4 linked regions of the Alligator mississippiensis genome follow. The protein of the gene in region 1 interacts with the protein of each later gene in a pairwise test. Links are inferred from orthologs where the notes say so. Each region holds a gene or a part of one and is shown in the gene's direction. Other genes may lie near its edges. The genes, in order: TNIK, ACTG1, myomegalin and TRIM2.

Evidence for each region.
Region 2: the proteins of TNIK (region 1) and ACTG1 interact in a two-hybrid assay, tested with the Homo sapiens proteins (2 studies listed by BioGRID and IntAct). The link is inferred for Alligator mississippiensis from reciprocal best matches to the Homo sapiens genes TNIK and ACTG1.
Region 3: the proteins of TNIK (region 1) and myomegalin interact in a two-hybrid assay, tested with the Homo sapiens proteins (2 studies listed by BioGRID and IntAct). The link is inferred for Alligator mississippiensis from reciprocal best matches to the Homo sapiens genes TNIK and PDE4DIP.
Region 4: the proteins of TNIK (region 1) and TRIM2 interact in a two-hybrid assay, tested with the Homo sapiens proteins (2 studies listed by BioGRID and IntAct). The link is inferred for Alligator mississippiensis from reciprocal best matches to the Homo sapiens genes TNIK and TRIM2.

Annotation. Positions count from the first base shown.
Region 1 is NC_081830.1:75,556,734-75,564,359, reverse strand, and holds the start of TNIK (TRAF2 and NCK-interacting protein kinase), read left to right. Parts: upstream 1-3,960; 5' UTR 3,961-4,048; coding exon 4,049-4,105; intron 4,106-7,626. UniProt on the Homo sapiens protein: Serine/threonine kinase that acts as an essential activator of the Wnt signaling pathway. Recruited to promoters of Wnt target genes and required to activate their expression. May act by phosphorylating TCF4/TCF7L2.
Region 2 is NC_081831.1:1,811,286-1,820,001, reverse strand, and holds ACTG1 (actin, cytoplasmic 2), read left to right. Parts: upstream 1-5,148; 5' UTR 5,149-5,231; intron 5,232-5,859; 5' UTR 5,860-5,869; coding exon 5,870-5,992; intron 5,993-6,085; coding exon 6,086-6,325; intron 6,326-6,679; coding exon 6,680-7,118; intron 7,119-7,252; coding exon 7,253-7,434; intron 7,435-7,550; coding exon 7,551-7,694; 3' UTR 7,695-8,547; downstream 8,548-8,716. UniProt on the Homo sapiens protein: Actins are highly conserved proteins that are involved in various types of cell motility and are ubiquitously expressed in all eukaryotic cells.
Region 3 is NC_081828.1:43,503,751-43,511,404, forward strand, and holds the start of myomegalin, read left to right. Parts: upstream 1-3,986; 5' UTR 3,987-4,163; coding exon 4,164-5,306; intron 5,307-7,654. UniProt on the Homo sapiens protein: Functions as an anchor sequestering components of the cAMP-dependent pathway to Golgi and/or centrosomes.
Region 4 is NC_081825.1:95,856,858-95,864,455, reverse strand, and holds the start of TRIM2 (tripartite motif-containing protein 2), read left to right. Parts: upstream 1-4,459; 5' UTR 4,460-4,481; intron 4,482-7,598. UniProt on the Homo sapiens protein: UBE2D1-dependent E3 ubiquitin-protein ligase that mediates the ubiquitination of NEFL and of phosphorylated BCL2L11. Plays a neuroprotective function. May play a role in neuronal rapid ischemic tolerance.

The DNA of each region.
Region 1 (7,626 bases):
CCTCTACCCCCACCCCCCCAATCCACTTCTCCTCAGCTGCTTATCCTTGCTTCGCTCCAGGAGACCTGGTGCATGGAGCACAGCTCTATTCACACCTGGTAGCAATGGTGGTAGTGTGGTAACTCTGGACCCAGCTCCAGCTGGAGCTGCTAACTGGACTAGACTGGGGCTGAGCTTCTTGTGCCAGGCTGGAATGGGGCCAGAATCTGCTGGAGCAGAGCAAGGGTATGCAGTGGAATTGGGGTAGGTAGGCAAGTAGAGGAGGTGGGGGAGTAAAGCTGGTGGGTGACAGGTGGTAGCTGTTGGGCTGGAGTCAGACGCACAGCAGCTGCCTGCCCCCAAACTGGCACAGACTTGAATCCAACTTGAGACCTTTTTTCCCCATGTAAAATGGGGGATAAAACCTCATTTTGGGCTTGACCAAATACAATAATTCTTTATGAAAACATGAAACCTTTCGGTGATACACAGGGCTTCAAATGGAGTTACCTCATCGATATATGGCCTAGCAAGCACTTAGGTGCTTCCATCAAGCAGATGAGAGAAATAATGGAATTACTTTTGACAGAGGTACATATAACAAAACTTGGATCTTGTCTGTTAGAGGCAGGTTGTGGTTAATGGCATCTATCTGGTTGTGAAGAGACTTGTCTAGATGGCTACAAAAAGCCCGTTTTAACTTCTTGCTCCCTGTTGGAGACCCCTTAGACAAGTTTTGGCACTACTGCTGGGAATGAGAGTTGTTCTAGCCAGAGACTTCAAGGTCATCCTCCCAGCAAGGTAACACCCACAGTTTTTGCTTCGGGCTGCATGCGGACTCAGTAATAAAGGGTATCAGGGAACATTCAAACATTTTTCTTTATAATCATTGGGGCTAGGTTTGGTAATAATGCATAGTTAGCTTTGAACATGGCATGGAGGAACTCATGTGATAAGCAAATAAGGCTCATGCAGAAATCCTGCACTGCAGCCTCTCAGTATTGGTTTGGATACCATAGTTTTGCAAAAATTAGAAACGGTAAACAACAACACATTGACAAGAGGATCTATATGTGAGAGTAAAGCACCCAGATTGTCCTCCAGCTACTTTGCAAATCTCCAGTGAAAGCTCACATTGGCGTAAGAGGGGATAGCAATCCAAAAGTGATGATGAATCAATTAAAATGCATTTGCGAAGATCAATAGATGCGGGTTGGACACAAGTAGCCATTAATTTCTGAGTATCTTCTAACACAGCTGCAGCAGTAATCATGTTAGCTTGAAATCCAATTATTATGCATTTAATAGAGTATTAATATTTAAACACACTTTAGTGTGTTTAGGCAGTGCCTTTTAACTGCTGTATCCATGTAAAAGCACTGGTCCCTAGCCTCAGCTGGAGTAAATCAGCTGGAAATCAGTAGCAAAATGCCACTTTACACCAGCTGTAATTGTGAGCTAATGGACATAGAAACAGGTGAACCAAGTATGTGGGGAAAGAGGAGCACTGGACAACACAGTCACATGTCCACTATGGTGCATCACACAGCCAAAGGGGAGTCCACTCAGTGTCATCAGAGATGTAATCCTTCTGTGGCTAAGCAATAGGACTGAACAGGGGCCCTAAATTTGAAGAAATACACCATAAAGGGAAAGTGTAGTTTAATGTTGCACTGACCCATCTTAGGTCCAGTTACTGAACTAAAATTCTCCAGTTCAGATCAGCCTGACTTTAAATTAATTTTTGTGAGTAGATTTTTATGGACAGAAAATAATAATAATAAAAACCCAAAATGGTAAAATCAAAATTCTCCCTTGAAAAAATGAAATTTTGTAGAAACTTCCTTTTCCATTGAAAATATCATTCCTTACTATCCTGACTAGTTTATGCTTCCATTTCTACCAGGAAGGTCTGTGCAGCATAGAGACAACACCCAGAAATTTGAAGATTATAACATAGTCACATATCCTTACCCATACACTAATGGTGAAGTAATTTTTGTAAATCAGCCTTATTGACACACGTTTACTGGACCAGGAACTGCCATTTTTGCATACTGAAGTACTTTGAAGCAATTGGAATTTTTTACTCCATTGCCCCTATAACCTACTATAATGTACTATATTTATGACATTACTGATATATATATCTATATATAGATATATAGATATATATATATATCTATATATAGATATATATACTGTCTTCAAGGACTAATTAAAGGCCCCAAATGAAGTAACTCCTATCCTGGGCACTTCATATGGATGTAGAGATCCATGATAATCTGTCCATTTGTAAGACTGGGGCCTATCATTTTAAAAGAAAGAAATCTCTCATTTCCACACCTGTTTTTACAAATGACACCTTCCTTGCCTTTTAAATGGAAAAGCTATTAGAAAAACACATTCTCACTTTCTGCTCAGCTTATTCTTTTTCATTCCCCACCCCCTTGAAAAAATTATAGCAGCACTGCCGCAGTCACATTTCTTTGTCACTAGCTTCTAGCTACTTTTGCTTTCAGGTCTATATGTATTATCACAATATTGCAATGTCTGGGTTGCAACCGCTGCAGACAACATTTGTACATCAAAGCGTTCCAGTCCATTGTTAAAAAAAAAATGAGAGAGAGACTTGGAAATAATTTGCTTGCTCCTTGCTTGTATTTAAGTGTTTATTCAAGACTGTAGAATGTAAAATTCAAGATTTCGGGCAAATATAATCTTTCGAATGTCAGGAAGTTTTAATTGCTCTACCACATATTAATGCCTCTGGATTTGTTATACTGAAGACAGTGATGTGTTTGTCACCCTGCATCACCTCATGCTTTCCATCCACTTCTGCATGTTTCATTTACCTGCAATACTTAGTCACCTGGAAAAAATACCTTCTGCCTTGTACGTGGAATTTTGTATGGGGCAATGCTGCAACTTCCACTATTGTATAATGGTGCTGTTGCTCCATTTCTCACCATGTATCAGGAACTCGGTGATCAGCACTCTTAATAATAAGGTTCAGCTCCAGATCTTTGAACCTACCTCCTGGCAGGCTTAGTTAGCATGTGCAGATAGCCATGGTACTTTGAACACAGGGCATACGGCAGAGTTGGGCAATGAACTCCCTCTAGTTCTGCAACTGGTTTAAGACAGCCTGTTGCTGATGAGGAAATGTCAGCAGCTTGACTCTGTTTTGCAAGGCCAGTCTCTTCTGCAGCCTGCTTCTACCAAATTGCTCAGATAATAAATGTGCTGTGTCTCAGACTACCAGCTTTTTATGAAAAAGTTGCAGCAGTCAAGTGGCCCTATCGACTGTAGGATTATTTGCAATTAAAAAAAAAGAGCATCTCAATCCATGCATACAAAAAAATCCTGCCTCTCTCTGCAGGAGACAAGTGTGTTAGGGTTATGTTTCTACTTCTCCACTCTGCGTGTTGCGAGATCCCGTCACACACCTGCGAGATCGGATAACGGACCCCACTGTGCTCCCCCTGAAGCGAGAAATGGTATCAGGAAGACCAGACCCGGTGCTTGAGAGACCGCTCCTGAATAAGGAATAACAAATGAGGACAAAGAGAAAACCGGGTCCCCTGGAAACGGAGGGATGCTTCTTCCCAAACCCAACACCTGTGTGCGCTGCTCCTCTACCAAAGCAGCCCAAATCCAGATTGCAAGACCGTGCCGAGCCAGGGCAATCCTAGATGTAGCTCTTAGAGGATCAACTCCTGGTTGGACTTCCCACCCCCTAATTCCCCAGCCTGGCCGGAGACCGACGGCCGGCCCCGCTCTGCGTCCTCATGCCCCTAGTGCCAGCGCCCGCGCCCGCAGCCCGGCAGGGCAGGGGCAAGTCAAGCCTCGCTTCTCCGCGGGGGGAGGGGAGAAGGGGGCGGGGCGCGCTGCACTTGTTCCCGGGGCCGGGCAGGGAGGCCCCGCCCCCTCCTGTTTAGCACCGCCCCCTCCACCCCCCCACTCCGGAGCGGCGGCGGCGCGTGCGCGTGTGCGGGCGGGCGGCCGTGGAGAGGAGGCGGCGGCAGCGGCGGCGGAGGTCCCGCGGCGCCCGGCGAGCTGAGGCAACATGGCGAGCGACTCCCCGGCTCGCAGCCTGGACGAGATCGATCTCTCCGCCCTGCGGGTGAGTGCTCGCCCCCGGCCCGCGGGTCCTCTGCCTTCCTGGGGTGGGGGGTGAGGTGGATGATGGTGTGAGGTGAACGGTGTGTGTAAGACAAGTAGTGATGGGTGTGTGCGCGTGGGGGGCGGTGTGCACAGGACTGATGCTCCCGCAGGAGGGGAAGGAGACGGGGCTGCGATGTCCCCGGGGTGCAGTGGCGGGGGGTGTCTTCAGCAGGACGGTCTCCGGGGGGTGCGCCTGGGTCTTCAGGGGGAAGCGCGAGGCCCCCCAGCCCCATGGCTGCTGCAGCCCGGGTGCGGCATGGCTGTGGCATAGAGGTGCCCCCTTGGAGCAGCGGTGGCTGCCGTGCTCCTTTCGTCGATGCAGCGCTGTGCTCCGCGCATCCATCCCCCTTGGGTGCCTGCTCTTCAGTTGCCTTTGCACAGGCTCAGGCTGAGCTGTCTTTTTGTCGGTTTTTTTTTTTGTTCCCCCCGCCCTAGCTCAGGGGCATCTGGAGAGCGCCCTCTTTGCCCTTCCAATGCAAGTGGGTTTGTCTTTTGTTTGTTTTTTCCCCCTCTACCTGAGGGAGCCCTGCGTTGAAAACAAAAACCCGTAGCGCAGAGAGGATGTGGCTCTTTTTGTCCTCGGATGCAGCGTCTCTTTACAGTAGCAGCTCCCCCGCCGGTCTGCTTGCGCTTCCCTGCCGACTGCCTTGGCCGCCGTGGGGCCAGAGGGGTTGAGTCCATCTTGATGTGATTTTTATTTTTTTGCTGTGAAATTTGGACATTGCAAGCTGGGGATGTTTGCCCCCATTTCTGCCGCCCCCCAATCACCACCATCTTCAGTCCTTTCCAGGGAATGGGCATATGCCTCCTTGCCCTTTTCATCAGGCATCACCCTGCCTCCTCAGGCTTGGTTTAAGCATATATGCTTAATAGCGATGCACGTGTGTGTGACTACACACTACACATGTACTGAATCTAGGAACACTGATGTGGGTTGGTTCACACCCTGTGGAGCACATTGTTGCACACTGATGCTGAGCCCCGGAGTATTTTGTTTTCTTGCCTCTTCATTTGCTGTCATCAGCCAGCCTTGCTCTTTTCTCCCACGCTTCTTCTAAGTAAGACTCTTATTTGTATTTACAATAAACCAGAAATGTATATGGTACATCAAAGATGGCAGCCAGTGTTTTTGTATTGTGATGTGTCTCTTTCTCCCCCTGTTTCTATAATTCCCTCCCCCCCACCTTTTTCATCTATTGCTGGTTTCGGCTATCCACTACTGGAGTCCTTTAGGGGAGTAGTGTTTAATCTGGACGTGGCTGCTGAAACGTTGTCTGAAGGAGCCTTCCTTTATTACAGCAAGACTGCGTACACCTTGCTGGTACAGGTGTTTAAGAAAAATAAAATCAAGTGATGCCCACTGAAGACTTCCAAGACTGTTGTGTGGTTTTGTTTTGTTTTGTTTTGTTTGTTGGGGTTTTTTTGTTTTGTTTTGTTTTTTTACAAATAATGTTTGCTTCAAGGCAAACCCAAAAAGATGCCCGTCTTATTCACATGCCCTACTTTTCTTTCTGCTTAGTTCCTGGCTCATTAATAGTGTAAACCAGTGGTTTTCAACCTAGACCCCCGGGGGGTCTGCAGACTATGGTCACAGTCATCTTTTGCAGACCCCTTAGACAATCAAAAAGTATATGAATACATAGACTTACCATTCAAGGGGGTCTGCACCTCTATTCAGAAATTTTTAGGGATCTGCACATGAAGAGAGGTTGAAAACCACTGGTGTAAACAATTGCTCCACAGTTGCAGGTGTGGACAGGATGAGGAATATGGAGGTCCTTCATGTTTAAAAACAAACATTCAATTCTAGTTCACCTCCCCTGCCTCAGTATCTCAGGAGAAATGTCAGTCAATGGAATTAATAGCCCTATAAAGCAAACATCTTGGAGCATCAGCCCCTACATGTTGGATTTTGTTTTGGGAACAGCAGCAGTTGAATTTTCTTAATGCCCGTAACAACCAGTCTTAAAATAACATCCCTGCTTTTTGTTTTTAAGGTATCTGTGTTCATGCAGATGGAGCTTTTTATTATTATTTATTTTTTCTCCATGGACTATACCCAAAGCAAGTCTGAATTGTCTGTCAGTGCAAATACAAATTAGAAATCCTCGACTGTAACTGCATTTGTTATGATTCCCCCATGTGCTTCTTTATCGTGGAACCCTAGGCTTGGAAAGATCTTGGTGGTCATTTAATGCAGGATGTGTTTATTCCTAAACCATCCAGGACCAATGCCTTTCCAGCCTCTTTTTTTTTTTTTTTTAAGTCTCCCATGAAGGAGATTCCACATGTTATCCAGGGAGCTTGTCCTAGCTGTGCCCCATGCCCCTAAAAGTAGTCTTATGAACTGGATCAACCATGGGATCAAGTGGCCTTCTTTGCTGGTAGATATACCTCAACAGACGCTAGATGTTGTGTCCATTTTATGGTGTCAGTATTCAGTGGTGGGGGCAGGAGGACCGTGGAGAATACAAAACACGCTTTGTGTATCTTCGTGTACTAAACTGAAGGGAATTTGTTCAGAGCTCCCAAAACAGTGACAGATCATATTGGAGAGAGCCCCATTTGCATCTAGTACATCAGATAAATTGTTCAAGAGCTGTCGATCTTTGTAATCACTTGACCTTCTGTAATGCTTCAAGGTCAGCAGGGCTTTGGGTGGGCTGCCGCACTGACTTGCGGTAACCCCAGGCAGCTGTAGTCTAACTTTGTGCTCTTTACACCTGCGGGTCAGCGTTGGCTCACTTGGGCTTTCATGTCTCTTCTACACTGAAAATGGTAAACACTTCCTAGATAGAGACAAAGCCCTAAGAGGGAGAATCTCAACCACTGTATAACGTAAGTGGAAGAAACCTATTTATGGAACTTTCACTTAAACTATGCAACAGGTTGATTTACATGTGGGACAAGAGTAGGATCCTAATTTGTTGTGAAATAGCTCTTCTAAACTGAATGCATTTAGTACGTAGAATAATTGTTAAAGGTCAAATATTCAATGGATGCATTGAGCAGGGCACAGTCTTCCCCAGTGTTTGCATCAGAAATCAATAGTAAATTTGCTGCCTGAGCACAAAACAGGGCAGTACAGAGTAATTTCACAAGGGTCACAATCGCATTTGATTAGAAAATCAGGCAAGTGTCACACTGCTGCAGGTTTATATATACCTGGATGAAGGAGATATGGTTCTTAGATCTAGGTGTTTGAAGCAGTGAAGAACAGCTATTAAAATGGATGTGGCATACAGTCAATGAAGGTCTAGTTGATTTAACAATTCATGCTAAAAGCCAGAGGAAATATTTGAAAGAAATGCTTGGGAAACTCATCACTATGTCTGACTCGATTAGTGTTGTTGTTTTTCACACCCTGTCCGTCCCCACCCCCAATGTAGTTAACAAATGCGGGTTAATGAAGAAAACAAGTAGACTATAACACTACCTTTGCTACTAATCATCTTTGCTGTACAGATGCATATTTCTCTT
Region 2 (8,716 bases), on another chromosome or scaffold:
GCCCTGATTTGCTTCGGGGGGTCCCAGCCTCACGGGCACTTTGCAAAGGGGGTCGGGGTGCAGGTTGGCGGGTCGGGGGCTGGGGTTCCCGGGGGCCGCGGCAGCCGCGTGGGGTCCCAGCCGGCAGGTCCACGGGCGCAGGCCGGGGCTCTGATTTCTGGGGCGGGCGCGGGCGGCGCTCGGGTTTCAGGCCCCGTGGGGCCGGCTTTGTCCCTGGAAATAGGTCCCGGGGATTGGTTGCCTAATGATTTTTTCATGCTCGAGCTCTCCTTTTCTTCGGCCGTTCCACTTGCGGCCGCGCCGCCCCCACCCGCCCCGGGTGTAGGTTACCCGGCGCCGCGGCCCGGGCATCTCGTGACACTGGCTGTCGCTAAGCGAGCGCTGTAACGGATCCGGGCGCGCGGGGTCGGGTTCCGGGGGGGCCGCCGCGGTATCGGTGTCGTGCGGGCAGCCGCTATTTAACGGGGGGCGAACGACGGCCTGCCCACCAGCCTGCCGCGGCGGGCCAAGGCTGCTTGAGCCGGGGGGCAGGGGCAGGGCCGGGGGGGTCGTGTGTGGCTGCGGGGGAGGCTTTGAGAGGCCCAGGCTGGGCCTGAGCATCCCAGGGAGCGCAAAGAGTGTGCGTGTGTGCACATGCATGCGCATAGGCACTTGTGCATGCATGTGCCTGTGTATACATGTGCGTGCCTGCATGTGTGTGTGTGCATGCCTGTGCATATGTGTGTGCCTGTGTGGGTGCATGCCTGTGCATATGTGTGTGTGCATGCCTGCATGTGTGTGCATGTGTGCCTGCCTGTGTGCGCATGCATGCTTGTGCATGTCTGTGCATTTGTCTGCATGCCTGCATGTGCATGTGTGCGCACATGTGCATGCTGTGTGTGCGTGCATGTTTGTGCATGTCTGTGCATACGTGCGCATGCTTGCATGTGAGTGTGGGTGGGGATGTGTGTGTGCGCACACTTCCCCAGCCTAGGCCAGGGATGCCAGCTCCCCTGCCCTGCCTGCCGAGCTAGTCTCCAGCACTGTCGAGGGGGGATCGATGCCTGTCCCCAGCCCACAGGGGCAGGTCTGTCCCTGCCCCCACCCATGGCCAGGGCTCCTGTGGGGCAGGCTGGGCGCCACGGCTGTTCCAGGCAGCAGCTGGGCCCTGCACGCACGGCGGGTGAAGCCCACAGGGCAGGAGGTGAACCGAGTCCCGGGCTGCTGGCGGAGGCTGAGAACGGAAAAACTCATCTCAGGCCACTGGCCTGGGAGATTCCCTCCCAAACTGTCCCTGCCCTTGTCCCTGGGGGCCCAGGCTGCAGGCGGGCCGGCCCAGGTTGCACACACCTGCTGGCACAACACGGGCACGGCGCCGGGCACCGACACGGACACGCCTGCGGCACGGGACAGGCCACGGCACCGGTCCAGGGGCCCCCCTGGTGGACGCAGCAAGGAACTGCCGTGCCCGGCCCCAGGCTGGCCGGAGCGGAGGAGGTCCCCCATGCGGGCTCCTTGCCCCGGTGCATGGTGCATGTTTGGGGGCTCCCCTCCTGGCGCTGGCCAGGCCCAGCTGGGCACCGCTTGCAGCCAGACTCTGTGGAAACCAGTGCACCCAGTCCCATCTGGGTGCCTAGCTGGTCGTACTGATGGAGGGAACTGGTCCCACTGCCGGGGGGGCCGTGTGGCTGGATCTCAGCCATGCAGAGGGGCCCGATCCAGGCATGAAGCCAGAGCAAGTTCCCTGCCGTCAGTGCGCCCCGTCGGGGTCCTGCCGGCGCCTCCGGTGCCCAGCACCCGCTCTCACCAGTACAGACCAGCCTAGCGCCAGTGCTGATGGGTGTCACCTTCCAGACCCCCCCGCAAGGAAGCAACCTGCTGTTTCTTGGCACTCCCCAGCCCAGAGCTGGTGCCCCAAAGCGGGCAGAGCTGGGGGGGTTCTTGTAGCCGCGGCCCCGCATGGGGCAGGAGCTGCCCTGGTGCGGCAGCATCGAGGCCGGGGTGTTGCTGCCCCCATGCAAGTGCTGGGAGGGCCCGTGGGTGCTGCCCACGTGGCTGCAGCGAGGTGGGGGGCAGCAGGTCTGGGGCTCGTCGTGCATCCAAGGGGCTGGGGGGCTCAGGGAGGCTTCCTGCCCCCAGGCTGTGGAGGGGCTCCGTGCCCACCCGTGCTGCACCAGGGCGGCCCCCATGCCCCAGTTCTCCCCGTTCCCAGGGCAGGGCAGGGCGCCCCTCCCCTCCTGCTTGCCCCCCCAGGTCACTGTGTCCACAGGGGTGCAGAGGAGAGGCAGGGCCACGTGGCACCCCTGTGTGCAAGCTCTGGGTTCACCCCCATGCACAAGCTGTGCCCGCACGCCCTGTGTGCCCCCGCCCGGCTCCCGGCTTCGGGGAGCCAAAGTCCAGCCCCGGCACTGCCCCGGCTGTTCGCCGCGGGGCGGGAGCCGGGGCAGGTTTCGGAGCGGGCGGGCACGGCTGGGCCCGAGATCACCAAATATAGGCATGCACTGCTCCCGCCGGCCCACCTGGCCGGCTCCACCTGCTCCCTCCCCGTCACGCCATGCCTGGTCGTGACACATCCCGGGTGCGGCTGGTACGACTGCCTCCCCGTGCCCTGGGGCGGGGGGGCGGGGGGGAGGCAGAGCCGTGCCCCCCAGGCTCTGCCCCCACCCACGCTCCAGCCCCTCCGGGAGACAATGTCACCCAGCCTGGGGGGGCTCTGCTGGCACTGCCGGAGGGAACCACGCTGGAGCCCCATGAACCTGCACTTGACCTTGCCACCTGGCCGGGCCCTGGGGCGATGGCGCGCGGGGACCGTGGGCGTGGGAACCCGCCTGGCTTGCTCGCGCCCCGAACGTCAGAGCCCTGCAGGGAGCCCGCCCGTGGCCCAAGGGGCCTTTCCCTGGGGGAGGGGTAGAGGCAAGACCCTGCAGCACCCCCGCCCCGCCGGGTACGTGGCACGGAGCCGGTCACCCACGGCTGAATGCCCGTGTCCTCCTCGAGAACCGGGAAACACCGGGAGAAACCCACCTCGGGGGCAGCAGGGCATCCTCCCCGGGTGGACCAGATCCCCATGCCTGGATATGGGGGCCGGCGCGGAGGGTGGCTCCAGAGCCAGCCCAGCCGGAGGAGCCAGGGGCTGGGGGTACCCGGGCCTGGCTCCGCATAACCTGGCCCTCTCCCTTGCCTCCCCCAGCGTAGGATGGACTTCCCCTGGGATTAGTCATCCACGCCGGGATCCTGCCTTGCTCCGGCATTGGCTGGGCTGGGATTTGCTTCCTAGTTTGGGCATCGGGAGAAGCCCGGTCCGGGGACGAGTCACCTGGAACCCCGGGGCTTGTGCAGGCCGGGCCCCCCCATGATGAGCGATGCCCGTTTCCTCTGCCTGGGTGATGAACCCGCTCCTGCCCCCGGGCATCGGGCACCCTTAGTCGGGGAAGGGGGGGCCCAGCTCCTGCTCCTCCTAGCCTTCCCCCGCAGCTCCCCGGGGCCCGGCCGTGGCCCAGCCCCTCGGCCCCGCAATGAAAGACCTCATCTGGGCAGAAACTTCCCGCTCCGCCTCCCCAGCTGCCTGCAGCCCCGGTGCCAGGAAACGCACCCGCCGGTTCCTCCTCCCGGGCCTGCCGGGAGGGGGGCAGGGTTTTTTTGCTGCTTAAAGATGAGCTGATCCGGGCCTGGCTCCCCCGCTCGCTGCCGCGGCGCACAGTCACCGCTGCCTTCGCTCATGGGCTTTGACGTCAGGGAGCAAATGTTTCCTGCTCGGCAGCGAGAACAGGGATGGGCGCTGGGCTGGACCGAAAGCCCTGCCGGGGCCTGGTCCCTTCCCCCAAAGCGGGGCTTGAAGCCAGAGGTGCAACGCCCTAGGGCAGATGTGGCCTGCTGCGTCCAGCTGTGCTGGGGGCAGGTGGACGCCCTCCCTCTCCCGCTGCTTCCCGGTAGCCCGGGGCCAGCGCCCCCGGCCCATCGCACCGGGTCGAGATGCCCCAAACACGGCTCGTAAGCGCCACGGAGGTGCCGGGGCTAGTCCTGGGGTGCGCGTCCCCCGAGCGAGTGCTGGCCCCTGGGCAGGCCTCACTGGCATGTAGGCCCCGAACTCCTGCTGCTGTCCAGGGGACTTAGGAGCCCCGTTGAGCACCGAGCCTGGTGATGCGGCATCGTGCACCCCAATGGCCTGGGCTGCCCCGAGCTGGCCGCGTCCGGGGAGACTCGTGCATTCAGCCTCTGGTCGCAGCTAATGACAGGGGAGGTCTCTCCATGCTGACCCCACGTGCTTGTGGTGGCCTGAGTAAACCCGCCCATCCCAGCGTTTGCCTTCCTGGAAAGAGTCGGTGCCCCAGGACAACCGGGTGGCCCGTTCCACCGTCCCTGCCCGGAGCCCCGTGAAAGCTGCCATGGGACTCAGACACCCACGGCGCTTGCGTGGCAGCGGGCCATGGAGCGGTGCAATCACACAAGGGCCGTGGCACTTGGGTCATGGCGCTGGTGCCATGGGGCCTCATGCTTGGTGGTGCTGGGCACGGGGTGCCATGGGAGTGGGGTGCAGCGTGGTCCCAGGCACCGTGGGCCCGGAGATGCAGCACGGGCCCAGATGCTCCACGCCCAGGGTGCAGGACGGGCCCAAATGCCCCATGTCCGGGGTGCTGCATGGCCCAGGTGCCCCACGCCCGGGGTGTCACATGGCCACATAGCCCAGGGGTGCTGCATGGGCCAGATGCCCCATGCCTGGGGCGTCACACGACCCAGGTGCCCCACGCCCCGGTTGCCCTGTGGCCCAGGTGCCCCATGCCTGGGGTGTCACACGGCCTAGGTGCCCCATGCCTGGGGTGTCACATGGCCCAAGTGCCCCATGCCTGGGGTGCTGCATGGCCCAGGTGCTCCACACCCGGGTGCCCCATGGCCCAGGTGCCCCATGCCCGGGGTGCCCCGTGGACCAGGTGCCCCATGCCCGGGGTGCCCCGTGGCCCCCAGGAGCCGGGAGCAGGTTCCGGGGCGGCAGCTTGGTTCATGCAGGTTCCGGGGCGGCAGAGGCGGGGCCGAGCCCACCAGCCGCCCCACGTGGCCGGGGCCGCGCCAGCCAATGGGCGCGCGTGTTCCTGAAAGATCTCCATATATGGCGATGTCTCGGCCGGCGAGGCGGGGCCCGAGCCCGCCGGGTATAAAAGGGCGGGGCGGGCGAACAGACGGTCTCACTCAGCCGGCGGCAGCGGACCTAGCAGCAGCGCTTCCCCCCCGCACCGAGACCAGCCTCCTCCGCACAGGTACAGGGCTCCTCCCGCCGCGGGCCGCTCGCCTGCCTCTCGCCCCTCTTCTCGTAATGGCGCGGAAGGGGCTCATCCCCCTAGGCGGCCGTTGCCGCGCTCTATAGCGAGGGGAGGGGAAAAAATGGTTCGGTCCACCTGACCCCCAACCGCCCGCCGTTGGAATGGGCGCGACCGGCTTTTCTTTCACCCCCGCGTGTTGGGAATGGTTTCGTCCACCCGGGCGATTTGAATGATGCCAGGGGCGGGGGCGTGATTGGCTGGACCGGCGGGTGACGTCACGCCGCGGGAGATTCGAAGGGAGGGGAGCGGCGCGGCGCGCGGGCGCCCCCTGCGGGCAGGAGAGAGGGAAGCTGCGAGGAGCCGGGCTCCGGGGGAGATGCTGCACCCCGGGGTGCTGCAGGGGGGTGGGGGGGCTGTAGTGCTGCCCCCTCCCTGCAAGCTGCAGCAGCGCCTGCTGGAGCACCCCCCCACCACTCTTTTTTCTTAATGCATTTTAAAAAACGCAATGCAATGCATGATGGGGGGTGGAGCCCTGAGCTGGGTGGGGTGCTGCGGGGACTGAATCCTGCTTGGCAAGGGGCCTGCTCAGCACCGCTGACCACAGGTCTCCTCATCTTCCTCCCAGATCCTCCGCAATGGAAGAAGAAATCGCAGCGCTCGTCATCGACAATGGCTCCGGGATGTGCAAAGCTGGCTTTGCAGGAGACGACGCTCCTCGGGCCGTGTTCCCCTCCATCGTGGGGCGCCCCAGGCACCAGGTCAGTTGGGCGGAGACCAGCCCCGAGCGGCGCCGCGGAGCCGGTCCAGAGCCGCGGCCCTAACCTCGCCCCTCCCGTGTTTGTCTCTTAAAGGGCGTCATGGTCGGCATGGGTCAGAAGGACAGCTACGTGGGCGACGAGGCCCAGAGCAAGAGAGGCATCCTGACCCTGAAGTACCCCATCGAGCACGGCATCGTCACCAACTGGGACGACATGGAGAAGATCTGGCACCACACCTTCTACAACGAGCTGCGCGTGGCCCCGGAGGAGCACCCCGTGCTGCTCACAGAAGCCCCCCTGAACCCCAAGGCCAACAGGGAGAAGATGACACAGGTAGGGGCTCCCCACGGGAGCAGCCGTCGGCGCCTCCATCCCTTGCGCAGCACAAGCCCTCTTCAATTTTATGGCATCTCCTTAAACTCGCCTTTTTCTTTCCCTGTTCCAGGGTTCTGTTCTCCTCCTGGCATTTCCTTCCTGAAGTCTCAGGTTTCTTTTTATTTGTGTATTTTCTGCCTGCGTTCTTTGCCTTTTTTTTCTTTTTTTTTTTTTTTCCCCTCCCCTTTTCTCCACACATCCCACTCTTGCATGCCAGCATGATGTGTGATCTAATTTGGATTTGAGTGAACCAGCTTGGGATGAGGCTTCTTGTCACTGAAACCACGGTTTTCTTTCCCTTCCCCCTCATAGATCATGTTTGAGACCTTCAACACCCCAGCCATGTACGTTGCTATCCAGGCCGTGCTGTCCCTGTACGCCTCTGGTCGTACCACTGGTATTGTTATGGACTCTGGGGATGGTGTCACCCACACTGTGCCCATCTACGAGGGCTACGCTCTGCCCCACGCCATCCTGCGTCTGGACTTGGCTGGCCGGGACCTGACAGACTACCTCATGAAGATCCTGACAGAAAGAGGCTACAGCTTCACCACCACGGCCGAGAGGGAAATTGTGCGTGACATCAAGGAGAAGCTGTGCTACGTTGCCCTGGACTTCGAACAGGAGATGGCTACAGCTGCTTCCTCCTCCTCCCTGGAGAAGAGCTACGAGCTGCCTGATGGGCAGGTGATCACCATCGGCAATGAGCGGTTCAGGTGTCCAGAGGCCCTCTTCCAGCCATCCTTCCTAGGTAGGTGTCTACCAAGCACGTGCCTGGAACGTGTCAGTGCCAGGGGTCATGGGTCTGAGTGCAGGGGGCAGGGGCTGGCGGCGCAAGGCTTGAGTGGCCAGCTGTGTGCTGACCTGGCAACCTCTCTTCTCCAGGTATGGAGTCGTGTGGCATTCACGAGACCACTTTCAACTCCATCATGAAGTGTGACGTAGACATCCGAAAGGACCTGTATGCCAACACAGTATTGTCCGGTGGTACCACCATGTACCCTGGCATCGCCGACAGAATGCAGAAGGAAATCACAGCCCTGGCACCCAGCACAATGAAAATCAAGGTAGGTGCAGCCTCCGGGGCACGAGCAAACCCTCTCTCGGATGCCCAGGGACTTGGGAGGGGAGGTGGCCTCCAAAGCTCTGGCTCTGCGGCTGACTTGTCTTTGTTGCCTTGCAGATCATTGCTCCCCCTGAGCGCAAATACTCTGTCTGGATCGGCGGCTCCATCCTGGCCTCCCTCTCCACCTTCCAGCAGATGTGGATCAGCAAGCAGGAGTACGATGAGTCCGGCCCCTCCATTGTCCACCGCAAATGCTTCTAAATGGACTGCGAGCAGATGCCCAGCATCTGCTGCATGAGTATTTTTTTCACTAGTATATGTTTGCCCAGGCAAATCTATACACCTCATGCTAGCCTCCTAAAACTGGAATAAGCCTTCTTTCAAAGAAACTTGCCCTTGGAAAGTCTGTATCTGATGTTAGACACACGTCAGCACTGTTGGATTGTCAAGCTGTCGCTGATTTGACCTTGTATTCAAGTTCCTTGTTCCCTTGGTGTACACTCTCTAGCAAAATACCCTGTACACATCTGACCTAGACCCTGGTACAGGTGCAGTCACTAGTGTGACCCTGCTGCCAAGGTTAATTTGTGTTTGTGGAAGAGAATCTGCCAAGGAGCCTGTAGGGCTCCTGGCTTTGCTACTATTGATGAGTGACACTTGCCTGGAGCCTAAGCTCGTGGGCCGGAGACTAGATCTGTACAGGGTATTTGAGGTCAGACTCCAATCTGTAAAGCGCTGAGTATTCCAAGTTTTCATGTAGAGGCTGGTAGGAGTCCATCAAAGAGTTCACTTCTGTTGCTGCCGTTCTAGCAAGGTTGGAAAAACATATCACATCCAAGCCTTAGGAGCCCGTTTCCATCTTCCCACCCACCTGTATCCCAGCAAGACATCACACGGGGCTAAAAGTTAACTCGACTTGAGTTGCTGAAACTCTGCATTTACACCTGTAAATTTCTGCATCCCGTTTAATTTATGTAAGATTTTTTTTTGTACGTTGCCTTAATGTTCTCACATGACAGTAGAAAACCAAAACTTGTAAGTCATCCCAAGGTCGAGAATTGTAATGCCCGACAACACGTCATTGTAAGGAAAATAAAAGCGCTGCAGTAAATGACATGCGTGTGCTGTCCTTCCTGCTGTGCTGGCCCCTGCTGGGTGGGGGAGCCTGTGTCAGAGGGAGAAGCCTTGTGTCCAGGTCTGAGACAAGGGCCCAGCTCCCTTCCCAAGGGAAGCTGGCAGCTGCATGACAGGAGTGCAGCTTGCTCTGCCTAGTCTAAAAGCAG
Region 3 (7,654 bases), on another chromosome or scaffold:
ACAGAAAGTCTCATGATAGCAGCAGTTCTCTTGTCACAAGGGCCAGACTACAGGTGACATGTGAGTTCCACCCGGTTCATGGCCTGATACAATCACATTGGTTAAATCCTTGATTTCCTCAGTGGTGAGCTCTGGCTACACTGATAAATCTTGCTGAAGTCAGTAGACTTGCACCTCTCCTTGGTGTTTTAGGGTTGTTAGTTGTTCACTTCATAAATCTACTGGATACAAAAAATCATGGACTAAATATAGGCAGACAAGGTTCTTTGGGTAAATCTGATGTCTTTTATTAGACCAACTCAGATAAAATAATCTAAGAAAAATAAATAATATAATAAATCTAATTTGTAAAAAAATAATTTGCATTTGAGGCCAAATTAGCCAAAACTAATTCCACATCCAAGAATCCGGAACCATAAACGGCCCTACTACCAGCAAACATTCTCCACCCATACCTGGGGCCTCAGATGTTTCCAGATCCTTTGGTGGGTGTCCTACTTGCAGGTCCAAGCCCGGAGGCTTGGGGTTCAGATGCTGCCGAGTTTTGCTTGCCCTTAGCCATAAGCCCCTCGGAGTAAGCAAGGGATGAGTCTCCCATTTCCATAAACTGGGCTTAAAGCCACTACATCTCAGTGGGTACTGAACCACGCCAGAAGAGCAGTTGCCCTGTGGGGTGGTTCAGGAAAACTGCCTTCTTGGACACAGATGCATGGTATTTCACCTGCCAGGTTAAGAAGCCACTGCACTTATCCTGAGCCCTCAAGAGGCCTGCACTTGATCTGAGCCTTTAGTACTCTAAAAAAAATCTAATAAAAATAGTCTAATAAAAGATACTAGATTTACCCAAAGAACCTTGTCTGCCTATGTCCTTAAACCAACGTGGCTACAACCTATATACCCTTGGACTAAATATAGACATTGGATTTATGGCACGTTATAACTTGGCTAACATTTGATAACCCCAGGTAACCTGTCTTCATTTTACCAGCTACATTCTATCACCAGTTCAACATTCCCCCTTTCCTCCCTGCCCCAAGCTGTCTCCTACCTATTGTCTCCCATTCCCTCTGATCCTCACTGCCACGCATTTGCATTTTCACAGACCTGCATTTTGCATTTTGGCTTCTCTTCTGTAGGCTGTTCCTGTACCATAGAGAGACCTGTAGGCTCTCTCTATGCCTGAAGAAGGGTGTTTGTGCCCAAAAGCTTGCAAAGAACAATTTTTCCAACTACCTAGTTAGCCAAATAAAAGATATCACATTTACCCAAAGAACCTTGTATCCTAGGTGTTACATTTGAAGGATTTTCCCTGTAAGCAAATGAGCCAAAATGTTTTCCTTCCTGAAGGACGCTGGAGCACAGTGATGTGCCTGCAGTACTCCAGCAAGACACAAACCCAACAGCTTCCAAACAGCTGGACAGTTCTGCCTTCTAGAAACAGGAAACGACAAAGCCCTGTAATTGCAGGCCCTCTTCCCGGCTGCAGTGAAGAATAATGCCACCCTCCCCCCCCCCCCCCCCCCCGGCCTGTCATTGCAGAATGAGTGTCTAGGCTCTGAAGCAGAGAAGCTATAATTTGGGCAGCTGGCTGGCTTCCAAATCTATAGCTTTTAAGCTTTCTGAACGACATAGTACAGGACGGTCTCCAGGGGGGCTTCCATCTGCTCCAACCCATTATCCCACTTCCTGGGGAACGGTAGCCAATTGAAACAGTTCTGCCTGCTCAGCAGGTATAGCAGGCTTCTCTTCCACCCTTCCCCCCACCCTCCTGCTCTCTGCACACAAAGGGTTGGAAGATTTCAACCCTTTCTCAGATTTCTTTCTCTTCCCGGTCTGCATGTCTGAGGTTTTAGATGGTTTCCGGGTTGTTGCTCTGCTGTTCATTTTTTGTCATCTAGTTTGTAATAAATTGTTTCACAAAAAAACCCCAGACTTCAGTGCTTCTCAGAGCCACCTTCTTCCCCCACCCTCTTAAAATTATCCACTCCCATGAGACCTACAAAATACTTGGTGGTGGCTCTGCACCTGGCATGCTGTGATTGCTGTGTTTCTTGTGCCTGCCTGCCTGTTTGCTGTATCCACCAGATTTTGGAAGCTCCATAGAGCAGGCACCATTTCTGTTACATTGGTACAGCACATTGCTGGGCAGTTAATGGACAGTTAACATTAACTGGTCTCTGGCAGTATGTATCATCAGAAGGACTAGAGTTTGTATGGACTGTGGTTATTGAACAAGCCCTTTCTCTTTTGGATAGGGGCGGTTTCTCCAGAATTAGGGTACATTAGTGAAGGATGATTTGATGGATGCTTATGTTGCAGAGGTAAGGGAGGGACGACTTATTTCTCTGGGGTAAAACAGGCTTATTTCACCACCAGTGGCAATTTCACTAAAAAGCTGAGTTTTGACCTGCCTACCTGGATGATGATTTCTGCATTAAACTTTTCTGTACCTGTTAGGTAGAAAATGAATCCTGATGCTGTGAGTCTTAGTTTGTGGCTGGTGACACAAGAAGCTGGTTGGTAAAAGGCACCATTTGGGTGCCAGGAGGCACTGAGTAGACTGGCTACCACTGGGCTTTACATAGCAATAGGTAGAACTGGTACAGCTTTGTGGGCAAGTGGCAGTGAGAAGATTGATTGGTACATGGAGTGGGTGAAGCTCAATATCGCATGGCATTGGATGGCATGCGTCAACGGGTTGCTGTGAGGTGGGGCCAGGAGCAGGTGGACCCTCAGTGGCAGGAGGCTCTGTGCAGGTAGAGCATTATGTGGCTCCGGGCGGTGTTCAGTGCTGAGTAGCGTGAGGAGCCCTTTGGCAAGCATGGCTGGGTGACTGAGAGAAGTCAGGGTACATTTGCACCTAACAGACTAACAAAGTCAGTGATGCATCGCCTTTTGTAAGTAGTGGCTGACTTCATCAGATGTTGGGAAGGGACTGCAGGAAGCAGAGCTTCCAACTAGAAAGCAGCTGTTGGCATACAAAGGGGAGGGGAGAGGAAACCCAATAGGAGGGGGCACTGCTGGCAGAGGCAAGCTGATGCATCTCTGATGTAGTAGTCTACAAGGTGCATCTCTACCTTGCCTTTTGCCTGACTTCAGATTAACACGGCTAGTTACCTCCCTCTGCTCATGGGTGATTGGGCCAGTGTGTGGGTGCTTAATGTTAGAACGGGTGGGGCGGCACTCGCCATCTCAGAGGCCTGAGTGCTTGTTGTTGTCAGGGGCCTGGCATCAGCAGGAGGCAGGGAGAGAGGCGCAGTGCCCCTGTCCTGGAAGAGCAGGCACCTCTGGCGGGAGGCAGCATAGGGCCCAGTATCAAATACACCAGGGTGGCACTGGGAGCAGGTAGCGAGCGCAGGGGCTTGTGCACGGGGCTGGGGGTGCAGGGCACATCCCTGGCTGTGGCTGGCACTGCCTGGGTACACAGAGAGTAACCCTGGATCACGATCCTGGCTCCCTAAGGGCCCTCCACAGGCCCCGGCCCCTGGAGGTGCGGGACGAGCAAAGCTGCCTCCACCCCTGGGGCTGTGCCAGCTGCCAGCATCAGCTACTCCCTTGCCAGCAGTGCAGCTCCTTCTGCGCATGCGGAGGAGGCGCGGAGGCCAGGGCAAAAACTGCTGCTCCCAGAATGCCGCTGGGAGGACGCATGCGCCGTGCAGCCGGCGACGCCATCTTGCAATCTGAGCCGCAATCGGGCAGCCTCAGTGGCAGCGGTAGCGGCTGCGGCAGCAGCGCTCTCCTCCTCCTCCTCCTCCTCCTCCGCGCCTGGGTCGGGGCGGCGGCGCCCGGGCCGCGTCTCCCCGCGGGGCTCGGCCGGGGCGGCAGCCTCCTGCTCTGAGCCGGGCGGGGGCAGATCGGGGGTCCCCGGGGCGGGGCCCGGGTGGTTTGGGGGCGGGGCCAAAGGGGTGGGGGCGGGGCTAGGGGGGCTGGCAAGAGGGGGTGTCTGGCCAGGCGGGGCATGGGGGAGCCCGTGTAGCCGTGGCCCAGGGGGGTGCATGGGGCTGGGGTGGCTGCGCATTGCCTGAGCCAGGGGAGCCCCTGGGGTCAGGCCTGGGGGATCCCCACTCCCAGGCCTTGCGGAGGCGCTGAGGGAGCAGTCGGGGCTGGAGAGCGTCTGCGCGCAGGTCTGGGCTGCAGCCGGGGGCCAGGCGCCGGCGAGGAGGATGCGGGACGCCTGCCGCATCTGCGCCCGGGAGCTGTGCGGCAATCAGAGGCGCTGGATCTTCCACCCGGCCTCCAAGCTCAACCTGCAGGTGCTGCTGTCCCACGTGCTGGGCAAGGAGCTGTGCCGCGATGGCAAGGCCGAGTTCGCCTGCAGCAAGTGCGCCTTCATGCTGGACCGCGTCTACCGCTTCGACACGGTCATCGCCCGCATCGAGGCGCTCTCCATCGAGCGCCTGCAGAAACTGCTGCTGGAGAAGGACCGCCTAAAGTTCTGCATTGCCAGCCTGTACCGGAGGAACAACGGCGAAGAGCTGAGCCCTGATGACAAAGTGGGGGATGGCACTGTGGACCTCTCGAGCCTGCCCGATGTCCGATACGCGGCCCTTCTGCAGGAGGACTTTGTCTATTCCGGGTTCGAGTGCTGGACGGAGCACGAGGAGCAGGCCTCAGAGTCACACAGCTGCCACGCTTCGGAGAGCGGGGCTAGCCGGCCCAGGCGATGCCGGGGCTGTGCTGCTCTGCGCGTTGCGGATTCTGACTACGAAGCCATTTGTAAAATCCCGCGAAAGGTGGCCAGGAGCATCTCTTGTGGGCCTTCTAGCAGGTGGTCTGCAAGCGTGTGCAATGAAGAGCCACCCATAGGCGAGCTTGGAGCCACTGAATCACCCAATGCCAAAGTACCTGCGGATGGAGACAGCATGGAGGAAGGGACTCCCGGGTCCTCCATTGAATCCTTGGACACCACTGTGGAGGTCGGCTCTTTGCAGCAGAAGGAGGAGGAAATGGACAAAGGTGGAAAAGGCAGTGGGAAGTGCGACTGTTGCTCCGATGATCGCACCACTCTAAACTCTTCATTAAATAGTAATAGGTTGGAGCTAGCTCTTAGCCTGATCAAAACCTGTGACTACAAGCCTGTTCAGAGTCCCAAAGGCAGTAGGTTACCTGTTCTAGTGAAATCCAAGCCCAGCCACGACACGATGGATGGAAGTCCTCATGCTGGTTTGGTGACGACTGGTTCTGGATTCCTGAACGCAGATGTGAAGTCCTTTTCCCGACCTCCTCTGGGCTTTCCCTTGGAGATGTCAGACCTGCAGGAGTTGTGGGAAGATCTCTGTGAGGAATATATGCCACTTCAGGTTCAGGTACAGGTTGATGAACAACACTGCAATTTAACAGAGGTCCTGCCATCTTGGCTGAGAGTCCAATCTGGATTCAGGTGTGCTGGGATAATACAGATAGCCAGTCCTATCTGAGCAAAAGGCTAGGAATGGGTAGCTAGGCCCTCCAACCGCTCTCCTTATACACACCTCGTCCCTGTTCTCTGACATTTCCATGGTATTCTTTTCCTGGTGTGTTTGAGAAATGAGCCCTCCATAGGTTTCTAGCATCTTGCCTCTTAAGTTTCCCTGAATCAAGGATACCAGCAAGGTTTGGCTGATATTTCCCCTTTTGTTTCTTGTTTCCAGCCAAGCAAACACCAGTTTAATTTCTCCTCATTACTTTCTAGGGAGTAAGTTTTGAATCTGTTAGTTTAAAGGGTGTAGTTTAAGCTGCCAAATGCTTCTTTAATAGCAGTTCAGTTTTTATTTGGCCTTTGTAAGTTATAAAGTTATAATTTGTAACTGATCTGTTCTGGAGTGGTAGGAACTGCTTTTTTTGCAGGCAGAGCTCCAAAATCGAATGCTCTTTGTCTCTCCCCAGTTTTCCCGATTTGCTCAGCCCTCAGGAATACCGTTATGCTGTTGGCAGTGAGGGTGTTGTCTTTGCAGATAGATTTGCTCCATTGGGTGACTTAAAGCTAGCATTCTTGGTAACTGATCCTTTAAAAAAGATTTAACAATCAGTAGCAGTCACTGCTGAGAGCCTGTGAGCTTTTGCAGGAATTTCAAACATTTTAACCATCTGCATAGATTCCAGGTAACATTTACCTCTGGATTTTGACTGCTTTTTTGCCTGGCTTTAAAATTCTTGCTAATATATGATCACAGGCCTGCACCTGTATTTCTTTTTTCACTTCTCTTACCACCCATTAAAGTCTTATGTCAGCTTTAATTCAGCAATATTTATGTCAGTCTAATTGTCTTGGCATTAGCAGGTTTAGTGCTGTCTAATTTTCCAGGTAGCCTCAGGGATTAGAAAGATACTTGTTTACTACAGAAGCAACTGTAGCTCTATTGGGTGATTGTTCTCCTTATGCAGTGAGTTGTGCTCATTCTTTTCCAAGCTCTGGCATTTTCCAGGGGTGTGTACTTTTTCCACAACAGCTTTTAGCATGAAAACGTGCTACGGAGGAAGCCAGACTGACGGAAGCTGACAAATTCCAAAGCATAGTCTGATGATCCATTTGTCACCGGTAATTGAAGATTTGCTGACACTACCTAGGGAACCTTAAAAAGTGAAGGGAAAATGCCATCATCTCTGTGTACCTTGTTGCCTGTTTTTTACCATTACAGACTGATATACCAAAATAGGGTCTTTCTTAACGCACAGGTTTTCCACCATTAGTTCGTATGGTGATTACATGACATTTCAGTTGTATCACGCATCTTAGCATCTTCATTGCGTCTCAGAATTACTTACAAAGGGTTTCTTCAAACCCCAGCCTCTGTCATGTGTTTGTCTTTCTGGTGAATCTTACGCTGAGTTTTTCATTTCCTGTTTCTTACCATGGCAACAAACCCAACACAGAATGATGTCTTCAGTGCTAAATCTGGCATAAATCGAAAGCACTCATTCCACTTTAACAGAAGGATTGGAGAGTCAGAGTTGCCAGTAAATAGGTCTCATATAAATCCCAGGCCTTGGCCTCACCTCTGTCCTTATTGCGTAATGAAATGAGAGAGACTTTAATTTTATAAACATTCTTAATTCAGAAGGTGAAGAAAAATTGTTTTTTGACTCCTTTGCACCAGCTAAGTTCTAGAAAACAGTTACAGTTTTCCCCACAAATGTTCCTTGTCCGTGCACAAACCCACCAGGCAAGGTGATTCTCTTCATACAGCTGAAATGCTGATGGCTGTCCATGGTATCTGTGCAGAAGGCCTGTTCTATTTACTTATAACATAATATTGCTCTTGCCTAACCTCTCAAGCCAGCAATGATTCCTGCCTTTCCTGAGAGCTAGATCCAAACCAAGTTTCATAGGTCGGTCACAGTAAAGTGTATTGCATCTTTATTTTAGGGCTTTCTATAGCAGGCTTTTACAAGCTACAAAAGCAGAAGGCTGCAATACCAGGAAGATAGGTATTGATTCTTGAGTTTCTGCCAATTAACGATAGCTGTGATACATGGAAGAGCTCATTTTCAGTTGTCTGGCTGCATTTACTTTTTAGGGCTAGTCATAAGTTCTTATTCAGACACAGAAATCTCTTTGCATTACATATCCGGTCATGTTGATAGCCTTCTTTAGAGTATGAGTCTGTGGTTGTCAGAGATGCCTGGAGGATCCATCCCTTCTTTCTTGCTCTTCAACCCCCCAACATGGCTGATA
Region 4 (7,598 bases), on another chromosome or scaffold:
TTACTTCAGATGAAACCATCATCCCAAATCTTAAATATTGTGGGTAAATTCCTAGCTCCTGTGAGGCCAATAGCAAATCTCCTATTTGATTTATGAAGCCAGGATTTTGCCCTGCATTTATAAAGTAGTAGAACATTACTAAACCATACTTGCCATTATGCTCACCCAAAATGCCAGTGGGTTTTCTTAACAAATATTATTTCTTCACCCATGTTTAAAAGCAAAGTACTGTAGTGAGATTGCTAGCTAATACTGTAGAATATCTGATTAAAAAAAAAAATTAAAAATGCCCCTGCCTCCGAATTGCACAGCAGTTGTCAAATGAGCAAAGTACATTTTTATGTGCTATCTTTGGATTTTTGTTAAGTTTGCCTAGTTTCAGTGACTTGCAGTGGGTTTATCTGCTCTGTATCTATGACTTCCCTTGGTAACTGCATAAAAATGTTAATGTTGGACTGGTCAAACATTTTGGCAGTTTTAGCATGGCTGCCATATAATGTTATAAATGAATATAGTGTTCACAGAAGATTGGATGAACAACCTGTGAGGCCCTCTGTTTATTAAATTTTCTAATAGGTTTCAGCCTTGTTTCAGGGGGGATCCCACTTAAGCTTAAAAGGGGAGAAATTCTTACAGAGTGCTCCAATGCTCCGTGCTGAGACTTCCAATAAGAATAGATACTATATAATTCTACCTGACAGTTGCCCATTAGGAACTGAACCGAGGCCATCAAATCATTTTATGTAAGCAGATCATTAAAAACCTCAGAAGATAATAATTCCTATCACTATTGACTTGGGATGGATTTGAGCTGGTCATTTGCAAGTGAAGTGGCATACAGTATTATTAAATCGCTGATCTATCCAGCCCCTCTACAAACCTCTTATAATGAACAGACATTTTTCCTGGAAAAGGCTGTGTAACACATTGGTATGTAATTCTTACATTTAAAGAAAGGGTATGTAACAGAGCGCTGTTCCAGAAAGCCACTCCTAATGTAACAAAGCAAGCAGCATTAAGGGGAATTCCTGGACATAACTTAATAGGGGAGCTATTTCTAATGCATTAGGGCTATATGATGTGGGTATATTGTTACTGCAATATAAGAAGTACTGATGTATTCCTGTGTAAACTATGATCATCCAGGAATAATTACTAATTGTTTGGGTATGCTTAAACCACATTGGCTTCTGTAAAAGACCATGGGGATAAAGAACAGAGTAGTTATTTTATGTCTTTATATTTAAGGGTGAGTTTTTGCTTTGACTTAGAACAGAAATGGAATCTCTCTAAAGGTGTAGTTCTTCTTCCAGTCAAAAGATGGTAGTATAATTTCTATTGCAGCAATCCCAGCCTTGGAGAGCAATTATGGCGAATCTGTCAGTTGCATGATACAGGAAGGAACATTGCAACAAAAGATGGAGAGTGCCAATAAGTAGGTGAGATTACCATAATCCTCCTTTTCTCATGGACTGCTTATGATCATGCTTTTTTCTCATGAGCAGTACTTTTCTTCAAATCATAATGGTCAAGCTTAATTATCCCTAGTGCAGCTACTGAACCAGCTGGTGTCAAAGTGAACATGTATGTGGAAGAACTTAATGAGGTGTTCAGGGTTTGAGAGATCATGAAATGGAAATATCCTTCTCATGCATCTCTAATGCTTTCAGAAAAGTTTGCAGCTACTATGAAAATTGTACTTGGAGCTCTCTTCTAAAATGTGCATCTCAAATTATTTTATAGCAAGGTGTAACTCAACTTGTATCAAAAAGATGATGACCATATTATGTGTGAAAGTCATATCCAAAATTTAGTTAATTAGAAAAAGAAAATCACTAGTGGATTTACTGCTTGGACATAGTTTTAGAATAAGCCGTTACTTGGAAAATATGTTAATTCTGGGCTCCTTTTATCTCATTTAATTTTACAAGATCATAAACCAAAATAAAATGCACTAAGAAAGGTACTACTAATTACTTTGTTCACATTTATTATCAGCTGTATATACCGATATTCTATTTAATTTACAGTGCACCTTTTTATTTCCAGTTGCATGTTTCTGCTTATTTGGGCATAATATTGATTTTAGAGGTACCTGAAACTAATTTTTGCACAGGACTTTTATGATATTCTTTGACTAAATTGAATCATGAAGCACCTAATTATTCCTAGCTTTGTAAGGTTACCAACAGCACAGAGTATAGACATGTTTGATCTGAGAAAGTGTTAGCCCAACTGCATTGATGGATTGTTTATGCCATTTGGGTGCATCTACACAAGACGCATTACTGTGCATTAGACTAATCTAATGCTCAGTCGAGTGTCATCATCTAGACATGCATGAGACTTACTGCACAGTAAAATAGGCTAATGTGCTGTTTGCTAGTACCAGAACATACAGGTACTAGATAAATTGTGAATTAGCTACTGTGCAGTAACGCATGTGTAGATGTTGACTGGGAGCAATTTGCTTCCAGTCAGCTCAGGCAACAGGGGCCCACTGCTGCCTGATTAAGCCCTGATCCAGGGTGAGCTGTGCCAGCTGCAGGGGCAGCTGTCTCCCTGCCACATTGAGATCAGGACCCATCCCAATCCTCACATGGCCAGGAGAGCTTTTCTGGAAGCCAGCACTGCTGCATCCCAGCCACGTGGAGATGAGGTCAGGACACAATTCTCACATGGGTGGGAGAGCTGTCTCCACTCAGCAGGGATGCTGCCTGCCAGCCATATGGGGATACCAATCTCCACATGGCAGGCAGGCAGCATCGGGAATGACTGTTCTGGCCATGTAGGAATCAGGATCAGCCCCTGTGGCCCCTGCCAGCCCCAGAGCTGGCACCCAGGGGAGCCTGGAACCCGCCTTGGCTGCTGCAGAGGGGCAGAGAAGGTCAGGAGAAGTCCTGGACTGCACTACTCCTGTCAGGTGAAATTTGCTCCTGATGAGGGCACATGTGTGGATGCATCTGTTCACATTAATTGCATGTGTAGACATACCCTCTGCGTATAATATAGGGCAATGCTATGAACATTAAGTCCCATAGAAATGATATTGTTAATCTGCATAGAAATAAGACTAAGGATCTTAGAGTCCTGTACTACAAGGCTACTGCACATAGTGTCCTATATTTCAAATGTTCTTGAAGCAGCCAATGGAATCGATGGCATCTGAACATCAAAGAGAGCCAGCTGAGATGGTTAAAAGTAGAGTGATCAATAAGGTGGAAGAGTTGACCTCAAAATCAGCTGGAGTGAAGAGACCATGGAAATCCAGAGGGTTGTTAAATCTTTATAACAATCATGACATAAACTGCCTCTTGTTTTGGTGTGTATATAGGAAAGTATTGATCTGTTGGAACAAATGAGCAGATGGGTAGATTACTAAGTAGAAAGTAGCCTGAGAACCCAAAGAAAGCTTTTGAACTGTCTTTGGGGGCTCTGACCAGCTATTTGACTAAGCTGAGAGTCCGTCACTTTTAGGAATTTTCATGCTATCCCTCTAGTTTCACGTATGTCGAAATCTCTAGGCCTATAATCTACAAAGGCAACAATGGTGCTAGCATCCCAGCTGATATATCAGGCCTGAATTCTCACTTTCCTCCACAGCATCCATAAATTGCATTTCCATCCCTAGGCACATGAGAGAGGCTGATGTTCAGTAGGATTCTTGTTTGAGTTAGGAGCACTTGGTTAGGGCACCAGGATCACTAGGGGTGATCTGCCTTGAGCAGGAGGTTGGACTAGATGATCCCATGAGGTCCCCTCCTGTCCTACTTTGATTCTATGAATAATTATACCAACACTTTGCCTGGGACTGTGTGTAGGGTAAGTCATGCTGCTTTCAGGAAAAAGAACTGGTGAATTAGGGAAGACTCTTTTTCTCCTACTCACAGTAGAAGAAAAGGGATTCTACAAAACTAGAAACAGAAGTTAAGTGTAACACACACACCTGACAATCTTTGTCCTAATATAAAATGTTTTCTGCTGGTTTTGAGCTTTCTGTAGGATTTATTTTTTCAGGCTTGATTTGCCGTGTGGTTCTTAAATTGTAAGTAATCTGATGAAATAGCTGATTTGGACTTGAGTTCTGGAAAAGATTAGTAGTGAGTGTTTTGAATAAGAGCTTTCATCATTTCCATTCTACATGAAACCCTTACTCTCGCAGAAAATAATTTTATTCATTCTAAATTTGAGGTTAGGCCATAAAGAGGTCTAACTAGCTGAATATGTTAGGCATATTGGAATCTAGTTTTCTCTGTGGACAATTTTGGTTTGTGCATTTGACTTATTTCCTTGTGTTCAGAGAATTAAAAATGTTCAGAATAACTTTAGGGCTTGTGGAAAGTATAGTCTTGCTATCCCTGGAGTCTGAAGCCCTCTATTATATCTCAGAGTTTGTAGGGAACAAACAACACAGCAGGCTGCCTCACATTGCTCCAGCAACGTGAATCAACGCTGACTTGAGTGGACCCGGAAAGCTAAAGGTAACTGCTTCTTAATTAGTAGTTGGCTCCCCTTGAAAGTGCTAAGACAGCCAGTTAGTGTCAGCTGTAGTAATAACTTTTGTGCTCTGGGCAATCCTATGTTTCATAGATGAAAGCAATAAGAGGAGGAAAGATGTCTCCCCGAGCCCAGGGCAACAACTGGATCATGGCACCAACTGATAGCTTGTTGTGTTCAAAGTGAAGATATTCTTGGCATCTTCTCTTTACCATTTATGAATATATCCACCTGGACATTCTTGTAATCAGGCCCACCACTTCCTTCTTAGCTACTTTCCCAAAATAGTATGAAAAAAAAAAAAGACAATTTATTTAATAGTTATGGCCATAGAGATGGCCCCGGCACTCAGAAGAGTGCATGAACTGCCCAAGATATTTCTTGTGGAAGCAACTGTGTCAAGAAGGGGCAGGAAATAATTAAAGACATGGCTAGATATTTTGGGGAAGAGATGTACTGCACCTCAGAAAGGGGTTTTTCATATTATCCTCAGCACCACTGATACAACCAAGCATGAGTGGGGTGGCGGGGGTGTTTATTATTCTCCACCTTTCCCATGTTACTAGAACTCCACAATGTCAAAATGGTTACTGATGAATTCTATTTTTCTGCTATTAATACTCATTGTATATGAGATCATGTAATGCAATCCACTCTGTAATTTGATAGAATTAAATTGCTTTGCATGCTATTATCTTCCTTCTATTCCAGCAAATCACACTGAAATCACTGGCTAACGTTTTTCTTTTGATCTTATCTAGATTATTCTGTAGATGCAATTGCATAGAGTACTGTGGATTTCTTTAGAGGTGGACATAAAACAACTTGATTCCACATGCATTTCATTTAAATGGAAAGGATTTAAAAAGATTAAAGTAACAGAGATTGATAAGTGCCAGAAATTTGGGTTTGATCAGTTTACTTGATATTCTGATATGAGAAAAAAGGAGTGGATAGTATAAAAAACATTCAGCTGAAATTGGAAATGTTTTTTCATGTCTTCTAATATTTGTGAGACAAATATAAGGATTTATTATTATAGAGCTCTAATAAAAATTGTAGGATTTTAACTGTGAAGCCCTCTCCTGGGGGTTAGAATTAACAAAATTTTAAGAAGCTTGTAGATAGATTCTGATACAGGAATTATGTGACACAATAATTTGGGGATGAAGTCCGTACTATGTTTGCGAACACAGTTTTAAATAAATTGAAAACTAGTCTCTGCATTTGATTCAAAGCCAGGAACTCTTTGATTCAAAGCCAGGAGCTAGTGTCTGGATACTGAAACTGGCTCCCTCTGATTTTAGGAAAGTCATTTAACCTTTCTGTCTTGCTCTGTCCAACTTTTATAAATCAGGCATGATAATATTTAGCAATCCAGTGGGTTAAATGGATGTGAAGTATTATACCTATATATATAGGTTCATATCATAGAAACATAGGAAAATAGGGCTGGACAAGATGCCAGAGGTTATCTAGTCTAACCTCCTTCTCGAAGAGGGATCAGACCTGTTAAACAAGCTGTGCCAAGTGTCTGTCTTGAATTAAAAAATGTTTGTGGTCAGAGGGCATGTGTAGATGAAACGGGGGCCCTAAATTGAAGTAGTGGGTCTTTAAAAACACCGCTTCAATTACGGGCCAATTAAACCCCTGTGTCACGCACACACCCTGCTGACTTAACTGCCACTCTGGTGGCAGGTAGGGGAGGGCAAGCTACTGGCAGGTGGAGTGGTCCCTGGGCTGTGGGGGGGCTGGTGCTTCCCTCTGCAGCATCGGCAGGTTCCCCCCAGGCAGCACCCACCCACAGGCACCTGGCTCGGGTGGTCCTGGGGGCACTGCAGCTGTGGAGGGAAGCACCAGGCCCCTGCTCAGCTCAGGCAGGCTCCAGGGGGCAAAAAAAATCAGGCTCACCATTTTTCTTGGGCGGAGCCTGCTTTCCCAGTCTGCTGCCAGGCTGCCTGCAGGGCTTCCTGCAGAGCCGCAGAGCTGCACAGAGCCGGGTGCTTCGCAAATGAAATTGCCTCATGTTGCAATTTAAGACTGTTGCTTCTTGTCCTGTTCCTTTTGGACATAAGGGCCATGTCTGAGGTGCTACATACTGCACATTCAGTTGTTCTCTGCACTGCAGGATGGTGGTTGTGGGGCGGGGAGGAGGGGTTTGACCCCTGGATATCCAGGGATCAAAAAACCCATGGGAAAAAGCGGAGCAGCACACACAGGGACAGCATGCATCACTCAAAACCAGAGCCTGGCTAGCTGAACCCATGCTCTGGCTGCTGGTCAGGCTCCACACGGCAGAATCTCCACTGCTGCAGCCGCAGGAAGTCCCCAGGACCCCACGTAAGGCTGCTGGGGACAGCCCAGTGCTGGCCCCAGCCTCCCCTACCTGACACAGCGTAACTTGCTGCGTGCCAGAGGGCATATGACATGGGCATTCCAATGTCCACAAAGTGCGCCACTGTTAGTTGTCCCCAGGGAACCAAATGTCCACACACATGTGGATGCAGCCAAGAGTATTATCCTCCATTTTTATAACAAATCTTCACATATCTGGAGATGATCTCCTCCAGCCTAAATAATACTATTTCTTCTAACCTTTCTTGTGTGTCATACTTTCTATACTGCTAATCATTTTTGTTGTTCTCCATGTTGTTCCTCTGTGTTCTCACATGATCAGTGTAGTTCTTCTTTTGCATGAGCTCTCTGTCAGGGTGTTGTCTATACATTACTTCAAACAAAAGACCACACATGATAGTTCAGTGGCAAAAAAGCTTGGCCAGGTTTATTTCCCTACACAGCACTTATTCACTAAAATGCCTGTCTAAAGGGTTATAGGATGTTAGCCCAGGCTCCTGGTGGTAAGGCACAAGCATAATTTAGAATTGCTTGTGTCCCCTTTAATTTTGCAACAGTAGCACACTGTTAACTTATTCTGCTGTGGTCCACTGTAACCATCCTGGTCCTTTTCTGTAGTACTGTAGCACCAACATCTGTTCCCCAGTTTGTATGTGAGTCTTTGATTATTCCATCTTAAGTGTGGCACTTTGTACTTGGTCATACTGAATTTTATCCAATGTATTTGGGATTATTTCTCCAAAGAA